2 linked regions of the Nothobranchius furzeri genome follow. The protein of the gene in region 2 interacts with the protein of the main gene of each other region in a biochemical or structural test. Links are inferred from orthologs where the notes say so. Each region holds a gene or a part of one and is shown on either strand. Other genes may lie near its edges.

The links.
Region 1: the proteins of fcho2 (region 2) and dab2 form a complex in vitro, tested with the Homo sapiens proteins (2 studies listed by BioGRID). The link is inferred for Nothobranchius furzeri from reciprocal best matches to the Homo sapiens genes FCHO2 and DAB2.

Annotation. Positions count from the first base shown.
Region 1 is NC_091746.1:66,240,043-66,251,179, forward strand, and holds the start of dab2 (disabled homolog 2), read right to left. Parts: upstream 9,174-11,137; 5' UTR 9,033-9,173; intron 6,994-9,032; 5' UTR 6,820-6,993; coding exon 6,681-6,819; intron 3,922-6,680; coding exon 3,782-3,921; intron 3,686-3,781; coding exon 3,587-3,685; intron 3,505-3,586; coding exon 3,373-3,504; intron 3,262-3,372; coding exon 3,178-3,261; intron 2,946-3,177; coding exon 2,919-2,945; intron 2,205-2,918; coding exon 2,172-2,204; intron 2,089-2,171; coding exon 2,026-2,088; intron 1,444-2,025; coding exon 835-1,443; intron 432-834; coding exon 308-431; intron 225-307; coding exon 1-224. UniProt on the Homo sapiens protein: Adapter protein that functions as a clathrin-associated sorting protein (CLASP) required for clathrin-mediated endocytosis of selected cargo proteins.
Region 2 is NC_091746.1:66,675,996-66,687,132, reverse strand, and holds part of fcho2 (F-BAR domain only protein 2), read left to right. Parts: intron 1-3,285; coding exon 3,286-3,360; intron 3,361-3,445; coding exon 3,446-3,587; intron 3,588-7,008; coding exon 7,009-7,161; intron 7,162-7,307; coding exon 7,308-7,412; intron 7,413-8,248; coding exon 8,249-8,347; intron 8,348-11,137. UniProt on the Homo sapiens protein: Functions in an early step of clathrin-mediated endocytosis. Has both a membrane binding/bending activity and the ability to recruit proteins essential to the formation of functional clathrin-coated pits.

The sequences.
Region 1 (11,137 bases), about 440 kb from region 2:
GGGTGGAGAATGTGGTGGTGGAGAAAACGGTGGCATCACCTGTTGCCCCCAGGCTGGTGCTTGCATGTGAGCGCCAAAGGCAGGGGGTTGTGGAAAGCCGGGGGTTGTGCCAACCAGAGCAGTCACTCCTGGCATGGGGAACATGGCGGGTGAAGCAGCAGGGGCACCCCACATGCCTGCAGCAGGGACGTTCAGGGCAGCAAGTGGGCCCAACTGAAGGTTCCCTAAATGTGTTGAGGGGGAAATTTTCAGTAAGAGAATGAACCAAAGTCATTTGTATAAAATGACAGATTTTTGTGTGTTTTACCCAGAGCAGCTATAGAGGAGGGAGTGGGGTTTGTAGGCATGTTGTTGAATAGGTCGCCTGGAGTGGAAGCCTGCTCAGTAGGAGCAGTGAAGAGCTCGGCTCCAAACAGCTCACTTGATGCAGACTGATCACAGAAAAGAAGTCATTTTTCACATTAATGTACACTGAAATATCCTAAAATGGCAACTTTTAACCACAACTGAGCATGCGTGGAAAAAAATCCCCATTTACCCGCATGCCTTGCCACTTACCAAGTGCGTTTACCCCTGAAGCATGAGTGTTAGGAAAAGCATGAGTGGAAATGAGAAGAGTAGCCAAGATACAATAAAGTCAAACAAGAGAAGAACCCCAGTATAAGAGAACAGATCCAACTCCTATAGGACGGCAGAAAAGAAAAGCCTTGGATGGCATCTACACCCAGAACATTCACCACCATACCCTGGTTCTCTGAACAACCCCGTGGGAAAGGAAACGTTTAAAACCAACCCCCCCTCGTCATGCACTACTGTACTGCCGTGTCATTTCACCTTTGCACTCCTTCGACTTCGTCCACATTTCGAGTTCTGAGGAGGCGGGCTTATGACAACCGAGTCGTTGCTATGGGTCGCTGCTGGTTCTGGATAGGTCAGTATGCTGTTTAGGATGGAGGAGGTTTTCATAGAGGAGTCGAGGAATGGGTTTTTGGTTGCGAGTGCTTGCTGACTTTCACTCCCATCCATCATTGTTATTGAGGTGCCCTGAGTTATGCTGCCCCCAAGTGGCCACTGTCCATTACTGAGAGCAAGGATCATGGATTTACTGGACAACTCGTTTTTCTGTTGAAGATTTTCAGAGTCTCTATTCAAATGATTAAAAACTGGTTTGTTTGTGCCGTCAGCAGTGCTGTTAGGTAGGTCATTAGTGGTGAGGGAGTCATCAGGTACAAAACTAGTGGGGGATTTAGAAAGGGGATCGTCTCTGAAGGGGTCGCCATCTGGAGCTGGGAAGTAGCCGAAAGTGGATGAAAAGGAAATGTCTTTATGGAGGGCTGCCTTATAGTCTGGGTCACAGGAAGAGAGAAAGAAGCTATCCTTTATGCAATTTTGATTGCTGTCAACTTCCACAGAGAAGTCCAACAATAGAACTTCGTTAGAATCCTGGTTCACATGAGAGGGACAGTCAGACAAAAGAAAAAACAAACAAACAAACATTTGTAAATCAGTTCTGCAGAAAGACAAACAGGAGTTAACAGAATGAACAACGAATCACATGAGGAGGATGTGGCTTTTTGAAGCTGCAACCAGAAGAATAAACAAAATATTCAGACCTCATCTTCCAGTTCTGACCTTTTTAAAAAGGTAGATTAAATGGGCTCTATTCAGAGAGCCACTAAATTCTACTTGTAGCAGCTTCAAGATTAGATTAACATGAGGCAACAACTCAATTCTTAAAAATATCTTTACATTTCTGCTGACTTAAACAGCGCTTTAAGAATCGAGTTCACGTATTGCACAGAATCACCTTAAAAGCATTGCGTTCATTAGGTTGGATCAATTGTTACAAAAGAAAATCTGGTTTTAAAAGAAACATTCGGGGGGGTGAAGCCATTAGCCTGCAAAAGTTTACTGATGTTGAAAATGTTTTAGAAAATATGCAATGAGAAAGTAGGGATTTGGAAATCTAATAGAAGTACAACTCTAACATTTGTCATAGATAAGACCGTGGAATGCTCGACTTACATTTGGAACCTGGATGTCTGGAGGAGTCGTGATGTCTCCAAAAAGGTCATGCTGCTCCACTGGCTGGAGGAAAGGATAATCCAAAACCGGTTATCACCTTTTTTATTTTAAAAAGGCACATTTGTATCAAGTTATTACATCCCTACCTGGGCAGGTTTTCCATCATTGGCCTTCCCATTCTAATAAAAGCAGAAACAGTTCTTTCACACACATTATTCCAGGTACAATTGTTTTCTCTACATTCACAAGAAAGTCACATTGGACTTCATTTGCTACCATTAACATAAAATACATTCTGTAAAGATGCAAAAAGATGGCAGCAAATGATGGTGAAATTTAAATGTTGAAAATGTTTCAAACACTTTTTTCCTCATTTTATACAAGTCTTCAAACAAGTTGCTAATTTAAATTGTAACGTTTTTGCATAAAAGTTCAAACATGCCAACTTTGACTTACAAGATGCAAACAGGATACACTAGAACTGCATTAATCACGTTGTTTATTTTTACTATAAACTCAAGTTTTCCCCTCATAGCCAGGTCTGGAAAGTACAACGTTCATACTTGTGCAGATATGTCACAAAGCCCGATTTTTTTTTGTTTTTTTTGCATGCTTTCCTTCACGCATTATTAGTGTCGCTTTTAGCTGGCTTCAAATTTACCTTTTTTTTTTGCATAGTACTTTTACTTGATCTCTGCCTGCCATCTTTGACATGTATTTTTCTGCTTTGCTTTTAATGCGTTTTAGCCAATTCTTTAGTTTTATGCCGTTTCTGTTGTGTTTTGTACAGCACTTTGGTTAGCTGCCATGCTGTTTTTTATCTGTGCTTTATAAATTGGTATGGAATGGTATTTTGTGTCGATTTTCCACCCAAGTAACTTTAAAGTGCTTACCTCAACTACTGCAGTGCCATTTTCACCCTGTAAACACAGTTACGCCGTCAATGATTATGCAGGTTTTCCTGAGTTGTACCAACTAGTGAAACATTCCAGAGGAATGTCTGGAGGATGAGAGTCACTGAGAGAACACAATAAGGCAGTGTTGACTCTCAGCCCTCCCACTTGAACATGCAAAGTGACCCCTCCTCCCTCCATAAGAGAAAATAAAGTCCCAGTCTACCATAAGATGAAAGTGATTGGTTTAAACTGTCACCGTCTGTGAGGACTCTGCTTCTTTCTTCCTCATGTTGAAGATGACTTGGAAAAGATCTTTCAGATCAATGACAAGTGGCTCGGCCTGTTTAGAACAAAAGCGGTCATTGTTCACCTTTGTTTATGTATTTGCTTTACGTGTGTGTGTGTGTGTGTGTGTGTGTGTGTGTGTGTGTGTGTGTGTGTGTGTGTGTACCTGTTGTGCAGTTTTAATGGCAAAGAACTGATGCTGTCCTTCTGCTCCACACACATATCCAAATGCCCTGTTGTCCGTTACATCTCTGGCAATAAAGGAGATTTTGCTGACCGGATGCTCGTGCTCAATTACCTGAAGGCAGAGAATATTTTAAAAAGGCGCTGAAGTTTCACTTTATTACCTTTAATTTGCAGTTGGTGATGTCAAAACGCACTCCTGATTTCTCATCGATGATCTTAATACCCGACATGGAAATGATGACCCAGATTCTCTGTTTGTGCTTGCCTTGAGACCGAGCAGCTACCGCCATACCCTGCAGGAAGAAAATCACAATAATGCTACTCAACTGCAGCAAAACATGCAGGTCTATGCCAACAGGTACATGATGTACAAAATAGCTTTAATGTACCTTCAGCTTCATCATGGAGTCCTGGCACATTTTGTCTCCGCGAGCCTCCCGGACATCGTCGATGCCGATCAGCTTTGCTTTGTACCTCACTCCATCTCCTTGAAACCTTCCCAGCAGGTACTCATCTGTCTTCTCAGGCGCTACAATAGAAATGTTTGAGTCACTATTTAACATCCATTTCACAGGTTTAAAGATTGGTACACATTCCATGAGTATCTGGTGCAATTACTACAAGTTGTGTTTAACTTTTAAGAAAAAACTTGTGGGAAGTTCTTTGGAATTGTTCGTATCCATGCTATGAGCGTTTAAGTATTTTGCAGAGTTACAAATCCAACAGGAAGCACTGCTCTTCCATTTTGTGGAATAGCCTCTCCCTCCTCCCCAACCTCCCATTTCCTCACCTCATTACAGACATTTAGTTAATTGCCCACCAACTGGCCTGTTTTGACATTTTCCACAACAAACAGATTTTTTGTACTCTGTAAATTCTGACCAATAAGCAGCCTGGGGTTTTCAAGAGGAGGGTTTGAAGATAAAGATGTGCTGCAGCGCTCTTCAGATACTATTTCGAAGCATCCTATTTGCTGTGTTAATTTTCCATTTGAAGAAATAGCCGAAGGTTATTTTACAGATTGTTTGCAAAGCAGCAAAAAAAGACAGGTATTGATGTTTTTGCCCACCCGATCAACCAGATGGATTTTAAAAGCCGGATAACCAAGTAAAACCAAATCAAGATGGGTGCCACAGCCACGCAACATAAGCAAACAAACATGACGACTGAATTCCACAGACAGATCTATATTTGATGTTGGTAGCAGAGCGTTTCATAGCACGTACTCTAAAGGGCAAGCGCTTCATGTAAAATGTTGCCCAATTAAAAGAATTTAACCAGAATAGCTACAACAGTTCCAACATGGGAGTTTCAAACTCACAAAATGCAAAAATACATTGAAAAGAAAAAGATATACTAGAAAGTGATTGTCAAATGCATTGGCTGTGTTTGGACCATGAATTCTACCACCTAGAACGGTGTTACCACGAGGACTACCAGAGCTCCTGAAGCATTTCAGACTCTTACAGCTATGTGTTACACAAACAGAATCCCAAATATTCACTTCCAGCCAAAGAAAGTGCACAAAAAACACTAGCAATAAACCAAAGCAGATTGGGTACTTTACTGTCAGAAAAGGTTATTTTTCTTAAAGTGGGCAAACACTTTAATTTAATACGGTCGTTGTGGTCTCTAGCACGAATTAATGCCTTGCGAGTTCCTCTCAGGAAAAATACCCCAGCATTCCCGTTTCAGGAAGTAGAAGTTAGCCAGAGGAGATGGTTGGCAGGAAACTGCTGGATTTGAAGTCTTGCTCATTATTATTCACAATACTGGAACAGCTCACCTCTGATTGGCTAACAGCAAAACAACTCTTGCACTAACTTTGTTTGCTCTTCAATGTTGACGTTTTATCTTCTACCACAACAAACCTAAAGAAGTTCTGCTAATGCTAATGGTTAGCGTTATGGTTACTAGCAAAGATGTGCTCTGCTCTCTCCTGGATGCTAAACCAACAGGCTACCCCCAGTTGAGACAACAAGCAGTGTGGCTTTTTCTGACCCAAGCCTTTCCTCATCCATTTTCTTTCAGTGGCTGATGCAGGCAACAGGAGTAGAAGACTGTTTACATGTTCAGCATGTCACCACATGCTTGCTTAGTACGAGGATTGCTGTAAAGTCACTGACACTAGTAAGTGACTTGATGCGATTAGCTGGGTTCCTTATAGAGGAAACTTTTTTTCTGATTGGCTTAATGAACTGACCTGGATTGAAATGTTTACTATGTGAAGTGCCTTGAGACTTGGCGCTATATAAATAAAGTGGAACTGAAATGTGAACGTTAGCATGATTAGCGTGACCAATCACATTTCCAAGAGAAGAAATGGGCCTATTCCACGTTCTCAGTGGGCCTCACATTTAAAGAAATAGCTCTGCCACTTAGGTGCAGTTCAGAGGAAAACATGTTTAAAGTTGCAGACTGCTTTCCCCCTTTTGGGAAAAAACTAAAAGATGCAACAGGTGGGCAAGCTAATGATTAGTCACAATGGATTCAGGGACAGAGTCAATTGCTGTATTTTTTTTTAAATAAAACTGTCAATTCAGAATACAAAAAAAATGCCTTTTAAAACTACATCACCATTTCACATTTATTTAATAAAAGATTTTTTCCAAAAGTGTTGCCAATATACTGAACTGCTACATGTACGTAGCTCTGCTGCAAATGCTCTTTAGAATAATTTTACGAAATATTTCCAGCAGTGCAAATGTTTGTAAAATAAATAAATAAAACTGCATTTAAATGAAATTCTGACAAATTTGTGCCACTAAACACACTGGGAAACAGGAAGTAAACACCAATACCAGTCAATAGCTGTATTTTTCTTGAATAAAATGTAAATAGATTTTAAAGAACTTTTCCATTTAAAAAAAACTACGCTAGAGTGCTTTACAGTAGAATTGTGCATTTATTTATTTTTTTACAAAGAAAACGTGCAAATTTATGTACGGAAACTTTACATAAACAGTGGCTTTATTTATTTATTTATTTATTTATTTTTACAGTGTACAGTGCAATGTTTGAGGCTGCAGTAGTTAAACGTTCTGATAAACTATTTTACTCTATAGATGGAAAACTTCAATTCTGAGCATAAGAAATTTAAATATTTCAGATAAACAGTAAAGGACTCTTAATAGCATTTGAGTTTTCCCACTTCATCTCAAATTTATATTTTTATGTTACTTTGGAGAATCACAAACCTGCAGAAGTGACTCAAGAGCAAACCTAAAAATCAAACATTCATCGACCAATTAAGGAAACCTCCAGCTCATCGTGTTGTGCACCGCTCACCTTTCTTCTTTTCTTTCTTGAGCGAAGTCTTGGTTGCAGCTGACGCAGGGGAGCTGGGTGGGGTGTTGGTGCTTGGGGCTGTAGGTGGGGTGTTGGGATCAGCAGAGACTGGTACGCTGTTTTCCACTGCTGCAGACATGATGTGTGTGTGTGTGTGTGTATGTGTGTGTGTGTGTGTTGGGAGGGAGGGGAGGGTCAACCTCACTGGACAAGTGGCAATCTGAGGTAATGCAGACAGCAACTTTGAGATCTTGGGTAGTGATGTCGAGCGACGATCTGATGATTCTTCAACACCCACACATGCTTCTCTTGTCTGGAGCACAAAAAGGGAAGAAGACAGAATGGCTTCAGTGAAAGAAAATATATAGATAGGAGTTATGGCAGGAGTTATGGCACCAGGTAAACATGCTGAAGGACAATTAAATTCCTTCACTGCCAGACCAACTGCAGAAACACCGATAAGGAGAGGAATGAGATGCACGATCAATAAAAAAATCTCACTCATGAGATGCTCTTAAATCTGCCTTTAATTTTAAACAGGATTTGAGCTTTTTTTATGTGAAATTTTGATTTGAATGGTAGTCTTATTACAATCTGAAAATCCTGCAGAGCTTTAAAACATTTTTGTGACTTTCTCAGAAAGGAGAAACAAATCCTGTAAATCATCCAGCCAACGCATGTGACTCATCAGGTAATAAAACTTTCAGCTGAATCAGAGGACTAGCAGCCTCTCTTCACGGCCTTGACCGAATACTTCCATTTATCAGCTAAAAAGTGGAGTTGGCAGCAAAACAGGCAAACAAAAAAGTACTTAGAGAGCAGTTATAATAAAAAGCATTATTCAGACCTTTAATTAGTCAAAAAGCCACTATAAAGGTGAACAATCACTCATTCAGCTAAATGGAAAATAGAAAAAAAGCCATAAAGCTCTTCTGGCCTGCACAAGCACTGGAAAACCACCAACACAGACCCTGCTCAGCTTGACGTACCTTTAGAAGCAGCTCCAGAGGTAACACTGCTTCAGAGAACCAGAGAAAAAAGCCCGACTACTGCAGTGAAGACCAAAGTCCGGAAATGGGCAAAGGTTGAGCACTTAAAAGGTTAATCTTACGCCAACAGAGGAAACAGATCTCGTGATGCCCAGCTAGGCAAGTGCAAAAGAGTTTCACTGGGTCTGTTTCAGGATATAAACATTTCAGTAAAAGAAGGAAATCCTACATTTCTAATACTAGAGGATGCAAAAAACACAATCAAGCTAAAAAGTTGGATCCAGAGGAAACCAGAGTGACAGAATTAGAACTCCAGCGCACTTGCAGGTTAGAGAGTTCATTTCAGCTTTGTGACCAACAAGGTCACTACTAACACCAGATCATACAGAAAATAATCCCAACTCCTCTCGTTGGCTTTTAGATTAGATTTTCAAAAAGGAAGTCCTTTTCTTGCGCGGGGATAAAAACCATTGCCTAAACAGTCTCCAGTGGGACATGTGGGTGGCTAAATGGTTTATTAAAACCTGCTTAATTAAGAGGTTTGGAAAAGGGAGAGTCCCGTTTAACATTTCATTTTATTCAAATTCAAGCAATTTTTAACTTAAGGAGTTAGAAACTCCTGAATAAAATCCTGAATTTAACTGTCCCTCAAAGGTTTGGAAGTCAGTGTTGGTAGAATAATCTGTGATGTAAAAATCACTGCATGCTGATTGTGTCGTCAGGCCCCTAAAAAGACAAACTTTAGCACTTGTTAAATTGCACAAGCCTGACACATGATTGTTCCTGTCCATCACCCAGAGCCACTAATAAAACCACTAATGTCAGCACTTCCCTGCAGACCCGAGTTAAACGGTTACGCTTTAACAAGCACCTCGGAGAGAAGGCAATGGCTTTTATTAGAATGAAAGAGGAGAAACTGGAGCTTTTAACAGCAACCATTAGTGTCACCACACCAGAAACTGTTGAATTCATGTTCGTCAGCAGAACAGACAGCAGTGCAAGGGCTGAAATGTCACAATCCTGGGCCTCAGGAAATGTAAACTGCTGCACATCTGGAGGAAATAAGGAGAGTGAGTCAGTCTGCCAGTGAATGAGATGGTGAAATACCACAAAGGGCAGAAAAAACACTTTACAAACTTAGAAAAGATTTAAAACATCAAAGTCCAAAAACTTTAGTGAGCTTTGGAGGCAAAAGAGGCATCAGAAAAATAAAGCATTTGTTGTTTTTCCAACATGAAATTCACTTCCACACTTGTTAAGCTGGTTCAACTGAAATGCCAAAAGCAACTTTTAATTTACCTCCAGAGTTGAGACTGCTCCCAAGTTTTAAAGCACTGATAGAAAACAGGGGGAAACAGCCTACCTGTTTAAAAAAGCTCCAGATGGGACGCTGAAGATGTTTGTTGCGGTGAAGCCTCCACGATCCTGCTGCTGAATCAGTCTAACCTACTTCAGCCTTGGAAAAAGAAAAAGAAAAAAAAAGAGCAGCACAAACCCGAGCAGGAGCTAGAGAGGGTTTAGTGCTAAATACCGAGGGCAGAAAGAAGGGAGGCTGCAGAGAGCTCTGGGTTTAACCCTTCACTCACTCACTGCTATTTCAGCTGGTAGGGGGGCGGGGCTCTGCACATGTGGGTAAATTAGACATCACATGTGTGATGCTTCTATGCTGTCATGAAAAATAACAACATTTTGTATGTTTACAACTCATTAAAGCATTAATTTCTGTTTTTTTTTCTTCATTCTAATGAGACAATAAAAACATTCTAGTGAAATGACCAGATTTAGACACTGCCACAGTGCAGGTCACTTTAAGGTTACAATTTCATTGTTGGCTTGAAAAGCATCATTTTAGCAAAAGGTACACCAAATTTTGGATTTGCAATTATTTTATTATTGAGTTCACAAACTCTGCAGGGTGCAGTCATTAAGGACTGACTGAACAGGTGTGCTCCATTTCTTCAGTATCACCTCATCAAGCAGGTGAACCATCTGGAGTCGGTTTCCAAACACAGTACTTACATTTTACAGTCTGGAAGAAAAAGAAACCTTAGCAGAAACGTCAAAAAGCTTTAAACTAATTTGAAGTGAAATCTCAAAAGAAGAAAAGCACATGTAGGCTCAGAAACATGAGGACTTATGTGACCACGTTTGCAACAAAAAAAAGAAAGAAAGAAAGAAAGAAAGAAAGAAAATCCTTTATTTTCTGAGCCAAGAGAGGAACACTTTCCAGGAGGGAGACGTGTTATTATCCACGTCTGCCAAAGAGTCAACAATTCAGAGCAGATGCAGCCTATTCATGATTCAAATGAATGTTTGAGCCTATTTGGTGTATTTCAGTGTGAACATTATTTAAAAATAATATTTTATTCATTACATGTTGCTTTCTGAACAGCCTCAGTTCAGAGAAATGAGGTAAATCAAAAGGACTGATGAGCTAACAGCTAGCTTTAGTGCGGACAAGAACAGCGATTACCGATCTCTTCAAACAGATCCAGTAACATTTGAGTGAAGGTAGGGGCTGGAGCTCTCAGTTCAATGAAAACAATTTACTATGTACAAATACTGAAAAAAAGTTAGTTTTTTTTTTCAATATTTGAACCTATTAAATTGTTTTCATTGAACTGAGAGCTCCAGCCCCTTCCTTCATTCAAATATCATGGATCCTGCTGTGAGCACCGACGCTCAAATGGATGCAGTGCAGAGTGCCGGTTATTAAGTAACATGTCAGTGCAGTCATGAATCGTTTAAAGCTAGAGCTACTCCATAACAGAGTACAGGAAACCAAGATCAACCTGAACCAGAGTAACAAAATCATAACGTGATGAGGGTTTCAAACATTTTATGATCTGGGGGAAATGTCTGCAGGCCTGGTTTGGCATCTTATTTTGATTTTACACGTTCTAATAAGATTTTGCTGAATAAATCTCAGTTCATTAGTTTCTGCTCAGCTGGAGAAAGCTTAAAAGGGACATCGTGGAATCTTACTTCTCCCACACTTCCTGTTAGAAAAATGCACTTAAAGGAGGTGTCGCCTGGCGGACCAAGAGAGCGACACTGAGGCTGTGATTGACAGCACCGGCCTCATGCTCTGCTGTTTCTCAGTCGGAAAGACAAATGGTTAGCAAGCGTGCTTGCACACGCACAGCAGTCTCCTCACTCAGAACAACGAGCAAACAGGGAAACCGCAGCAGGCGGGAAAGCTTTCTCTTCACCTTGATCACTAGAAGAAAGGGGGGAGGATGTTTTTATGAGGAGGCAAGCGGTTCTGAGCCATATCGTTTCATATCGGCTCGTGAGTGGTCGAGACTCGGCGGGAGTCCAGCGCAGTGCAGCCATGCAGGATTATACAGACAACGTAGAGCAATAAAAGGATGTAGAATTTTTCATCTGTTTTCACACTTAATGACATCAGGGGTCATCTTTTCTGGGTTTTCCCCTGCACATAAAAACGATCCATGGGTAAATTAT
Region 2 (11,137 bases):
ACCGCGATCTCGTTCTTTCTGTCATTACCCAAAGCTCATGACCATAGGTGAGGCTTGGGACGTAGATCGACCGGTAAATCGAGAGCCTGCTTTCTGGCTCAGCTCCCTCTTCACCACGACAGATCGGCTCAGTGTCCGCATCACTGCAGACGCCGAACCAATCCGCCTGTCGATCTCCCGATCCCTCCTACCCTCACTAGTGAACAAGACCCAAAGATACCTAAACTCCTCCACTTGAGGTAGGACCTCTCTCCCGACCCGGAGTTGGCAAGCCACCCTTTTCCGGTCGAGAACCATGGTCTCAGGTTTGGAGGAGCTGATCCTCATCCCAGCCGCTTCACACTCGGCCGCGAACCTACCCAGCAAGAGCTGAAGATCAGAGCTGGATGAAGCTAGGAGGACCACATCATCCGCAAAAAAGCAGAGACGAGATTCTCCTGCCACCAAACTCGACACACTCCACACCACGGCTGTGCCTAGAAATTCTGTCCATAAAGATTTTGAACAGAACCGGTGACAAAGGGCAGCCCTGGTGGAGTCCAACCCTCACCGGGAACAGGTCCAACTTACTACCAGCTATGCGGACCAAACTCACGCTCCTCTGGTAAAGGGACTGAATGGCTCTTAACAGAAAGCCACCCACCCCATACTCCTGGAGCGTCCCCCACAGGGTGCCCCTGGGGACACGGTCATAAGCCTTCTCCAAATCCACAAAACACATGTGGATTGGTTGGGCAAACTCCCATGCCCACTCCATCACCCTTGCAAGGGTATAGAGCTGGTCCACAGTTCCACGGCCAGGATGAAAAACACCTTGCTCCTCCTCAATCTGAGATTCAACTATCGATCGGACCCTCCTCTCCAGTACCTTGGAGTAAACCTTTCCAGGGAGGCTGAGGAATGTGATCCCCCTATAGTTGGAACACACCCTCAGGTCACCCTTCTTAAAGATGGGGACCACCACCCCGGTCTGCTACTCCACAGGTACTGCCCCCGATGACCACGCAATGTTGCAGAGACGTGTCAACCACAACAGCCCTACAACATCCATAGCCTTGAGATACCCAGGACGAATCTCATCCACCCCCGGGGCTCCGCCGCTGTGTAGTTGTTTGACTACCTCAGCAACTTCTGCCCCCGAGATTGGACAGTCCATCCCCAGGTCTGCCGGCTCTGGTTCCTCCTCAGAATGCGCTTAGGTGGGATTGAGGAGCTCCTCAAAGTATTCCTTCCACTGTCCGACTATAGCCCCAGTTGACGTCAGCAGCTCGCCATCCCCACTGTAGACAGTGTGAGCGAGTTGCTGCCTCCCTCGCCTGAGGCGCCGGACAGTTTGCCAGAACCTCTTTGGAGCCGATCGATAGTCTTTCTCATTGGCCTCACCAAACTCCTCCCACGTACAAGATTTTGCCTCGGCAACTGCCACTGCTGCACCCCGCTTGGCTATCCGGTACCTGTCTGCTGCCTCCGGAGTCCCACAGACCAGCCACACCCTGTAGGGGTCCTTCTTCAGCCTGACGGCTCCCCGAACCTCTGGTGTCCACCAGCGGGTACGGGGGTTGCCACCACGACTGGCACCGGCCACCTTGCGACCACAGCTAGCAACAGCCGCCTCAACAATCGCAGAGTGGAACAAGGCCCACTCGGACTCAATGTCCCCCACTGCTCTCGGGACGCGGTCAAAGCTCTGCCGGAGGTGGGAGTTGAAGACCGTCTTAACAGGTTCTTCTGCCAGGCGTTCCCAGCAAACCCTCACTATGCGTTTGGGTCTGCCAGGTCTACACGGCATCTTCCCCTGCCATCTGATCCAACTCACCACCAGGTGGTGATCAGTTGACAGCTCCGTTCCTCTCTTCACTCGGGTGTCCAAAACATACGGCCGCAGGTCAGATGATACGACTACAAAGTCTATCATCGACCTGCGACCTAGGCTGCCCTGGTACCAAGTGTACCGATGGGCATCCTTTTGTTCGAACATGGTGTTCGTTATGGCCAAACTGCGGCTTGCACAGAAGTCCAATAACGAAACACCACTCGACACACAGTAAATTACTAATGCGTAAAATCAATGATCATGAATAATAAGAGCAACTAGCCAGTATTAAGTTTTAAACATTTAAAACGATGACTTTAGCTTAGAAAAGTAATTGTCATTAGGAATGTCCCGATACAACTTTTTCATTTCCGATACCACACCGATATCGCAGCCTTCGGTATTGAACGATACCGATACAAATCCGATAAGATATCAGCACAAATCATACATACTTTTACTTATTTCATAGTGTGTAATGTATAAAAGTCTTGATCAAGTGATATCACTCAAACAGAAAACAAAAGCCAGCAACAGTAAGTATAAAAAACTCACCAGTTTTTTAGTAACCTTTGGTTGAATAAATGTGAACGGCTGAGGTTAGGGACATAAGGAAAAAACACAATATTGTTCACTGACCAGCTGCTACAAGTTCAGTGTCTAAAGTTTCAATTTCACACACACATTTGTGATCCTGCTTCAAATGAGGTTGGACGTATTAATCTTCCCCGGTTTGAGTCTTTTTCAGACTTTAACAAAAACCACAGCCACACGGCCAACATTGTTCCTTGCTACTTTGCTAGCACACACTGTTTTGATCACGGGGACGTTGATGCTGGATCTGGGCGCTGATGGACAGAGTTGCTGGAATGGAATTTAAAGCAGAACATACTGCTAATATTGGAGAATTTTGATGCAGTTCGATATAATCCGATACAGTGTTTTGGGGCCGATATCAATATCTGGACATCCCTAATTGTCATGGATTTGCTCCACTTTCCACCAGAAACTCAGACTTTTGGTTTTTGTGCAATCCTGCTAACAGAGAATTTAACAAAAATCAGCAGTTAAAACCTTTGCCTCTGTTCATGCTAAAGAGAGAAAATGTTCCAGTGTCCTTGTCAGAAAACATCTGACTGGGGTGATGATCTTTACTCTTATTTATGCTTTTTTGGGGATTTTTACTTTAGTTCTCCTCCACAACAAGATCAACACAATAAAGTCTTAAATAAAACATTCTACTGATCTTGGAGGAGGTTAAAGATGGATAGGTGTGTGGTTGAATGACCACGGTTGACCTGTTTCCCCCGTCTGACCTTGTTCCTGTGATGTGACTGCAGAGACAGGATGGCTGAAAAAAACATGGATGATTCAAACTTTACCTCGCAGATTCAGCCTGTCACTATGGTGGAGAATAAAAAGGGACATTAAGGGACACTGTGGAGTCAAACATTGCTTCCTCTTCTCTCTAGGAGTACCATAGAAGAGTCCTACGCTCGGTCGATGACCAAACTTGCCAAATCAGCTGGAAACTTCTCTCAGCTTGGGTGAGTTCGAACCTTTTCAACCCTTTAGAAGAAAACAGCCCTAACAACGAGAGTATTAACATTTTCATGCCACCCTTGCTCTCAGGACATTTGCTCCAATGTGGGACATATTCAAGAGTTCAACAGAGAAGCTTGCTGGTTGTCACTTAGAGCTGGTGAGGAAACTACAAGAACTTATAAAAGAAGTACAGAAGTATGTGGAAGAGCAGGCCAAAGCACACAAGAAGGTAAGGACGTGCACATCTGTTTAAATACCTTTGTATTTAAAGGGACTCTAAGGAAGTTTGACAGCCAAAACATGTATAGAAATAATAAATGTCTTCTTCATGCATTCTCTTGCAATGCCCTGGTCCTGTAGAATGAGCCCTGGCATTTTTACTGTGATTGCCTGTTTTTCTGTAAAATGACAGAAAAAGAGAGATGCTCGGGTTGAGCAGGCTGCTTCATGCTCAGGCATCGCCCGTAGCATTTGCTATCCGTAGATTTAGCAGCAGAGAGAGAGGCAGTGGCAACTCAGCGACTTTGTCGCTGTTCCTAACGCCTAGTGATGAACCTAGCTACATTTATGAGGACCCTTAGCTACTTTCTGTAGAACTTTCTTCTAGATATTTACTGCAGATTAGCAACAAAATAGCCATTTTCGCTCCGAACCGTTCTTTGGTTTGACGTTGTTTCAGCTGTCATCAAGGATATAAATGTTACAGATACTGTGAATGTTACTAGAGTGTAGCTAACCTTGTAAGATGTCTGACTCTCATGCAGAAGTCCTGGGTTCGATTCTGGATGTGAACATAGTTTATTTAGAGTTTCTTTTTTACATTAATGGTATTTTTTTACAGTAAGATGCCCAAATTTTTATTTGAGACTCGCCAAACGGCATTGAATTCACAGATAGAAAAAGATGTGGGTTCAACTTTCATTTTGGAACAATTTTTCAAGCAAGGGAAGGGAATGATCTGAGCATGCAGGAGGACTGACCCATCTTAAACCTTTGTCGGCTGTGCTGAAGAGAAAGGTACAGAACCAAATAATGTAATTAATTAGCTGCACGTTCTCCTGTCCTCCGCCCCCCCCCCCACCCCCACCCACACACACACACACGACTGTCTCAGCTGTTTTTTTTTTCCGTTAAGGAGTGTGCACGTACAGCATGCGTGCCTCGTACACTAGCCTACTATTGAAGCTGCCGTTATGCTTTTGGCCTGAAGGGGCAGTCGCGAGCATAAAAATTCAAAAGTCCGTCAAGTCCCTTTAAGTTAAAGCAGGAAATCCAGTTCCAGACTAATTATTTTCTATGAGTAGGGTCTATACTAACATAAATCTGTCTTCAACATGCATCAGTAATGCATGCTTTTATTTTAGAGGTTGTGACCTTGTTTTTGCACTTTGTGGTTGACTTGGTAAACAGCTTTGTGTTGTTGAGTTTGTCGGAGCACAGCACACTCAGTACACCGTGTTTCTGGCTTTGCAATAAGACCGCTGCAGAGCCCTTTCCTGGCATTCTGTTAAAATGTAAACACAAAGTTTATGGGAATGAGTTTGACCTTTGATCACTGACCAACTGCACACTCGTAGGTGACGGCCTGTTCACAAACCTTGTTGTTATAACAAGAACTTCACATAGATCTTCTGTCTCTTTCACCACTGACATCAGCCGGTTCTGAAACATCATTGTAAATTAGATGCCACCAGCATGTGCATGCGGGTCAATTTAGTGTTCTGGTCACCAGTTTAGTCTCATTTTTTTACCTGATAACTTAAAGGTCTCATTCACTGTTTTTTAATAAATCTGCTGTGGTCTCTACTGTGAATGATGCCATGTTGGTCGTTTGGGGAAAATGCTCTGGTGCTCCTGTTTCAGGAGGTAGAAGTATGTCAGAGGAGTCGGGGGGCAGAGAACGGCCGGGTCTAATAATATTCATTAAAACCAAATGTCTAGTCTCTGATTGGCTAATAGCAACAAAAGTCAGTCGTTAACAAAAGTCAGAACACTGTAAAAATGCAACATTAATGTTTTATCTTCACAAATAAAGTCTGGACGTGTCAGAGTTGCTAATGCTAATGGTTAGCTTCTATTCGCCTAAACACACTCTGCTCTCTCCTGGCCACAAAAGGAATACAGCCTCCCAAGGTCACAGGCCAGGGTGGGCGTGCCCTTCCTAAATGAATACTAAAATTCCCTGTAACATAGAAGAAACTGGCTTTTTCTGACGGGATGGTTTTCCAGTCTATTTCCTTTCTGCAAGTGATGGGAGAGTTTCACGTTCAGCAAGAGTTTACAATTCAGAGTGACTTCTTCTTCCTCCCCCTTATTTTTCACTTAGAAGACTGTTGATGATTGCATTTTGCATGAATGATGAATGAAACTGCTGAGTGAGAAAATAAAATTAACAATTAACTGATTGTATTTCAAAAAGAACAAGAGCGTGAAAACCTGCCTGTTTCATTCAAATCAGCATGGTCCTAGTGATCCCTGCCAATGAGCAAGGCAGCAGGAGGTGGTTGTACTCTGAAACAGACTTTACATAGAAGCGTTAAATATGATTGTTTAGTTGTGCAGTCCAAATGTTTTTGTTTTTTCTTGTTTTGTGATATCAGTTAGAGCCGTGTGCAGAACTATCTTTAAATCCCGCTTCCACTGACGTTTCTGTCCATCATCTCTCCAGCACTACCCTCCACCTGCAGGCCCATTCATTAATACGATCAATTAGGCCCATATGCACAGCTTGTTTTGTTTCTGGTAAACACTCTTTTCCATATATGGGATTCTTCATCCTTTTCTGCAGTTTTATCCTCTAGTCTTAACCCTTTGATGCATAATGGTCACTACAGTGGACAAGTACTCAAAATTGTTATTTATTTGTTTTTGCTATTAAGCACAGCTGTTGAAGACTTTATTGCATTTGAGCCCCTCCATTTGGACTTCAGTAAGCCAAGCAAACAAATTTCATGTTCAGATTGCACGCTGTCCACTGAGGTGGACATGTAATAAATTATTTGTAAATTATAAAGTTTTACAAAAAATATTTGTTGAAATTTGTTTCATTCACACCTAAAGACGAATGAAAAAAATTGTTAAAAAAATCATGGTTGAAGATTTCATAATTCATGCATCAAAGGGTTAATTTGATAACCAGTCCCAATCATCCGACTGACCATCTCGGGACCTGCAATCTATTTTTAGCCGCCCGCTCCCTCAGCACCTGTTGAATCCAGTCCCAAGGCAGCGCTCTAGTATCAGTTTATATTTTTTGTCTGAAGCTAGAGAACACAAAGCCAATTAGAAGCTCAACCATGCTGCCAAGGTTGTGTTTGTGCTCGTTATTGTGACTGTTTCTCTCTGAAACGTCCGCTCTCTCTGCTTTATTTCTCCTTTTGTAACCTGCTGCTGTGTGCTTTGTGTTTAGACATTCAAAGTTGTAAAAAACATTCAAATAAATAAAACGAGAGATGTCTGCATCTTACCATAATGGTGTCGTAGCCAAGAGGCCTTGAAGGTAACTGTTCGCCGATGTTAAATGGCCTGTGTGGACCTCGCTCTGGTATCAGTGACTTTTACAAACAATTAACAAAGATGTTTCAGGACAAGTGTTGTCACACTTCGGGGGGTGGGGGGAGAGTTGCACTAATTGTTTGGTTATCTTTCAGACGAAAGAGGAAGTAGCACCAACCCTGGAAGCCGTCCAGAACATACAGTCCATCTCCCAGGCACTCCAGAAGTCTAAGGAGATCTACAATGCCAAAACGGTGGAGCAGGAGCGCCTCCGCAAAGAGGGGGCCACCCAGAGAGATGTGGACAAGGTGGGAGGTCACACGCTTATGCAAACACTTGAGCTCATAAGGCATGATTGAAGTGTGTCACACAGAAACTTTAAGCCTGCCCTGATTTTTCTGTTGATGCAGAAAGATGTGCAGCCTTTGAAAGTCATTTATCCGTTTGTTCACAGGCTGGAGTGAAAGCCAAAAAAGCCACGGAGACCTACAAGTCCTACGTGGAGAAATACGCCACAGCCAAGTCTGAGTTTGAACAGAAGATGGCAGAAACTGCGCAGGTATTAGACATCTTAGCTGGTGTTTTGTTCTCTCACAAGCTCTGCGTATTGTCTGCCCTTTGTAGCGCACAACACTTCATTGTGCAATCGTCCGCTGCACGCCTGTTCCATGTTTTGTGGCCTGCATCGTCTCCAGATTGTGTTTTTTCCTCCATAATGAGATCATTGTGGAAAATAAAGCACTGATTGGATCCATGTGAAGGGCTGATTAGATAAACTCTAAATTAAAATCAGATCGGAAGGATTTGGTCTCTACATCCTCCTGTAGCCGCAGCAGCTCCGTCACTGAAGCTGGTTCCAGTTAAAACCTGGAGATTCTTGCGGTGCAGCCCTGCTTCCCCTGGATCCCCGTGCACGGCTCATCTCCCACCACACATGTGGGCGTATATTATAAACACAGAACACATGTGCTGTCTGACATCACTGCAGCTCCTACATGTGTGTTTTCTTTGTCAGTGTGTGTGTGTTTTCTAACCGGTAGAAGGCAGAAGTATGTGGCTGATCTTCTCTAATCTCACGCTATGATTTTTCCACTTTACGTGTATTTAAAATTTTTCTTTTATCGTCCCAAAAGCCTTGTGCACTTCAGCTTACATCCAGAATATCAATACCAGCGTGATTTGGCCTCAGACCACCCAAACAGTCATGCATGAAGTCACAGTGTAATGAAGACGATGATCCCTTGGCTTCATTTAGCTTCTTATTTTTGTTTTCTTGTCAGTTTTATGAGACAGAAATCATGATTTGAATTTGTCAGCAGGCAGTTAATTTGGTTATGAGTGCCTGCTGTGTTGCTTCACCTCACTGAAACCACAAGTATCATAAATCTGTTACAGAAATTCCAAGACATAGAAGAAAACCACGTCCTCCAAATGAAAGAGATCATTCGGTCGTACTCGCAGTCGGTGGAGGAAACGCACATTCAGATAGGGGAGGTGAGTGCACGTGTCCTCTCAGACACACCTGCATGTAGAATCACTGAAAAACAGGAAGTGATATGTCCATCTCTTTTGCTTAGCTGCTAAAACTGATTAATACCTCTGAGTGAGTAATAAGCCCTTTTTATAAGACACACCATGACGGCAAATCAGCGTAATATTACCGCAATGGTATGTCTATAAAGCATCGACATATAAATATTGGACAATGGGTTTCCATAGGCTCCAATAACGTTTTTGAGGAGAAATGGGAGGTGGCCACCACCGCCATTTTGACCGTGTCACAGGTTCCGTCAAGCCCAGACAATTCCACAAAAGGGAAGAGAGGAGGAGCTGAGAGTGGGGTTGTAAGGCTGGGATCAACTGACGACACCCGGTTGAACTAGCTACAAGCTAACTTGAAGCTAACCCACAGCTAACGCGGAGGTGGGAGCCGTGGCAAATCCCGTTTTGCAAACGCTATGGTCCTGTAAAAACAGCTCTAGAGGCACATTCTGACCTCTTAACTATGGTCATAGTTTTTGAAAAAGTGTATTTAGGTTTGAGAAAACTGCATCTAGTTGTAAAATCTTAAAAGTAGCATTCAAATACTACACTAGTCATTATTCAGCTTGTGTGTATTCATCCATATGTAGCAGCAATGCTGCTCTATTTGTCTCACTACCTGCAGAGGGCGGCATTGTTTCATCAAAGGAAAAGGAAAACCCCGTCTAGCTTCCCTTTGGTAGCAAACTGTGAAAAATGTTGGGCATCAGTCGTGCTGCTCCTCCCTCTGAGCTGTAGATGCTGCATGTTGCTCGACCACATTCAACTCTGACTGAAGACGGGTGGTTAGTCTGCAGACCGGAGGGTCTTTATCTGTTGATGAAATAATCATTTAATGGCAGATAGGAAGTTGGGAGTGTCATCTCAAAGAGTAGGCTGCAGGATGCAGAGAGCAGCTGCTCAACTGTATTAATGGACTCCGTGGTGTGCACTGTTGCACACACACACACACATAGGCACACACACACACACACACACACACACACACACACACACACACACACACACACACACACACACATACCTAAAATCATTAGGATATACTTGTACTTAAAATAAAATATTCAAATGCTTTGTAAGTTGCTTTTACACACGTGCACTTTGAAATCTAAGTAAATATAATTAAAATGATTGCATTTATTGTTGTATTGTAAATGTTCTTACAGTTTTAGATTTTTGAGTAGTGTTTAAATTTTATTTTTCAAGACAGTTTTTATTTGAACCAATGAATTACTAACTAACTCTTATATCTTAACACTTGACCACCAATACCCACCCTCAGGCGGCCCTTTATGGGTCAGCATGCTGCTCACTGATTGGTTGCTGTTCTACAGTTGTCTCTTGGATCTCAAATTCAAAACTGAAGTACAGAAATTTACTTAAGATTTAACACTAGAGGAAATTAACCCTTCAGATTCTATGATCACAGGTTTTTGGTGGTTAAATGCAGTTTTGCTTAGTGGAAAGGGGGGGAATGATAATGTTTATGGTTATCTGACAGAACTTAACAACTTGGCATAATGAACTGAACACAGCTGTTTACTTCGTGAAGTGCCTTCTTAATCTGTGAATTATTTAAAGGGGCCCTAGAAAACAAAACCAAGTTGTTGTTGAACATAGACAGCTTGGTGTATCTAATGTAACAAACTCCGACCTGCTTTCCTTTGTCAGTAATGTTGTAACGGCCATGCAGAAACGGTCCGATCTGAGAACATCTGGTTTAACTCATCATAAGCATAGACACACCCACATCACCACCCACTTCTGTGTTGGCAAAATAGAAATGTTGGTTGTGGTAATGCTAACTGCAAATGATGCTAGTCTGAGCTACTGCTAGCATCCCCGTTGGACAAGAGGGAAACGACAAAGAAAAATGTCGGAGCACACATGAAACATTCTAAGATGCACTTGGAATATCCACATTTTGAATGAATGCCAGATAGGTCCGTAGCTGAATGTCAGAGTCATAGGGGTAAACTGACCAGTCAGCATGCAACTGTTTATGAATCTATCTAGCATTTAGCGGTGGGCGATATGGAAAAACTATCATACCACGATATTGTTTTTGCAAAATCACGATAACGATTTATTTCTATTTTGACAATTCAGACATTTTGAAAGTTATTTACCATTAAAATACATACATTTAAAATCAAACCCCTTCACATAAAATAGGATAAAAGATTCTTAAAATTCCATTATCTTTCTCTCTCAAATGTGCCACGAGTACTTTCATTTCATCATATACTTACAATTGATGTAAAATAATGAGAGGTGGCTCATATCCTATCATCCACAATAATATCAGTAATTATTTCTTGTTCAGAGAGAGAAAATCCATCATGTTAAGCTAAATTCATAATGCATCCTCGTGTTATACATTCTCTAGTCAGGATGACACTCTATTACACTCACTACTTGTCCCTCACTGCTCTCCGTAGGTGTTTCCTGATTACGTGGGGGAGGGGTTTGGCATCAACAACGTTCCGGTTGGCAGCCACAGTGAAAAGGCTCACTAAAACACACACAAACATCTCCAAATAATAAAAGTCACAAAGCTAAATGCGAATTTTAGAGCAGAACATTGACTCCGATGTTCCCTGATTGAGCAGTGAGAACACACTTAATGACCTCTTAGAGACGGAGCAAGCTAGTGGCTAATGCTAGCATCTAGTCACTATAATTAAGTATGGTGTGCTTCTTCAAAGATTCATAATCGTTTATGTCCGCATCTTAATGCAT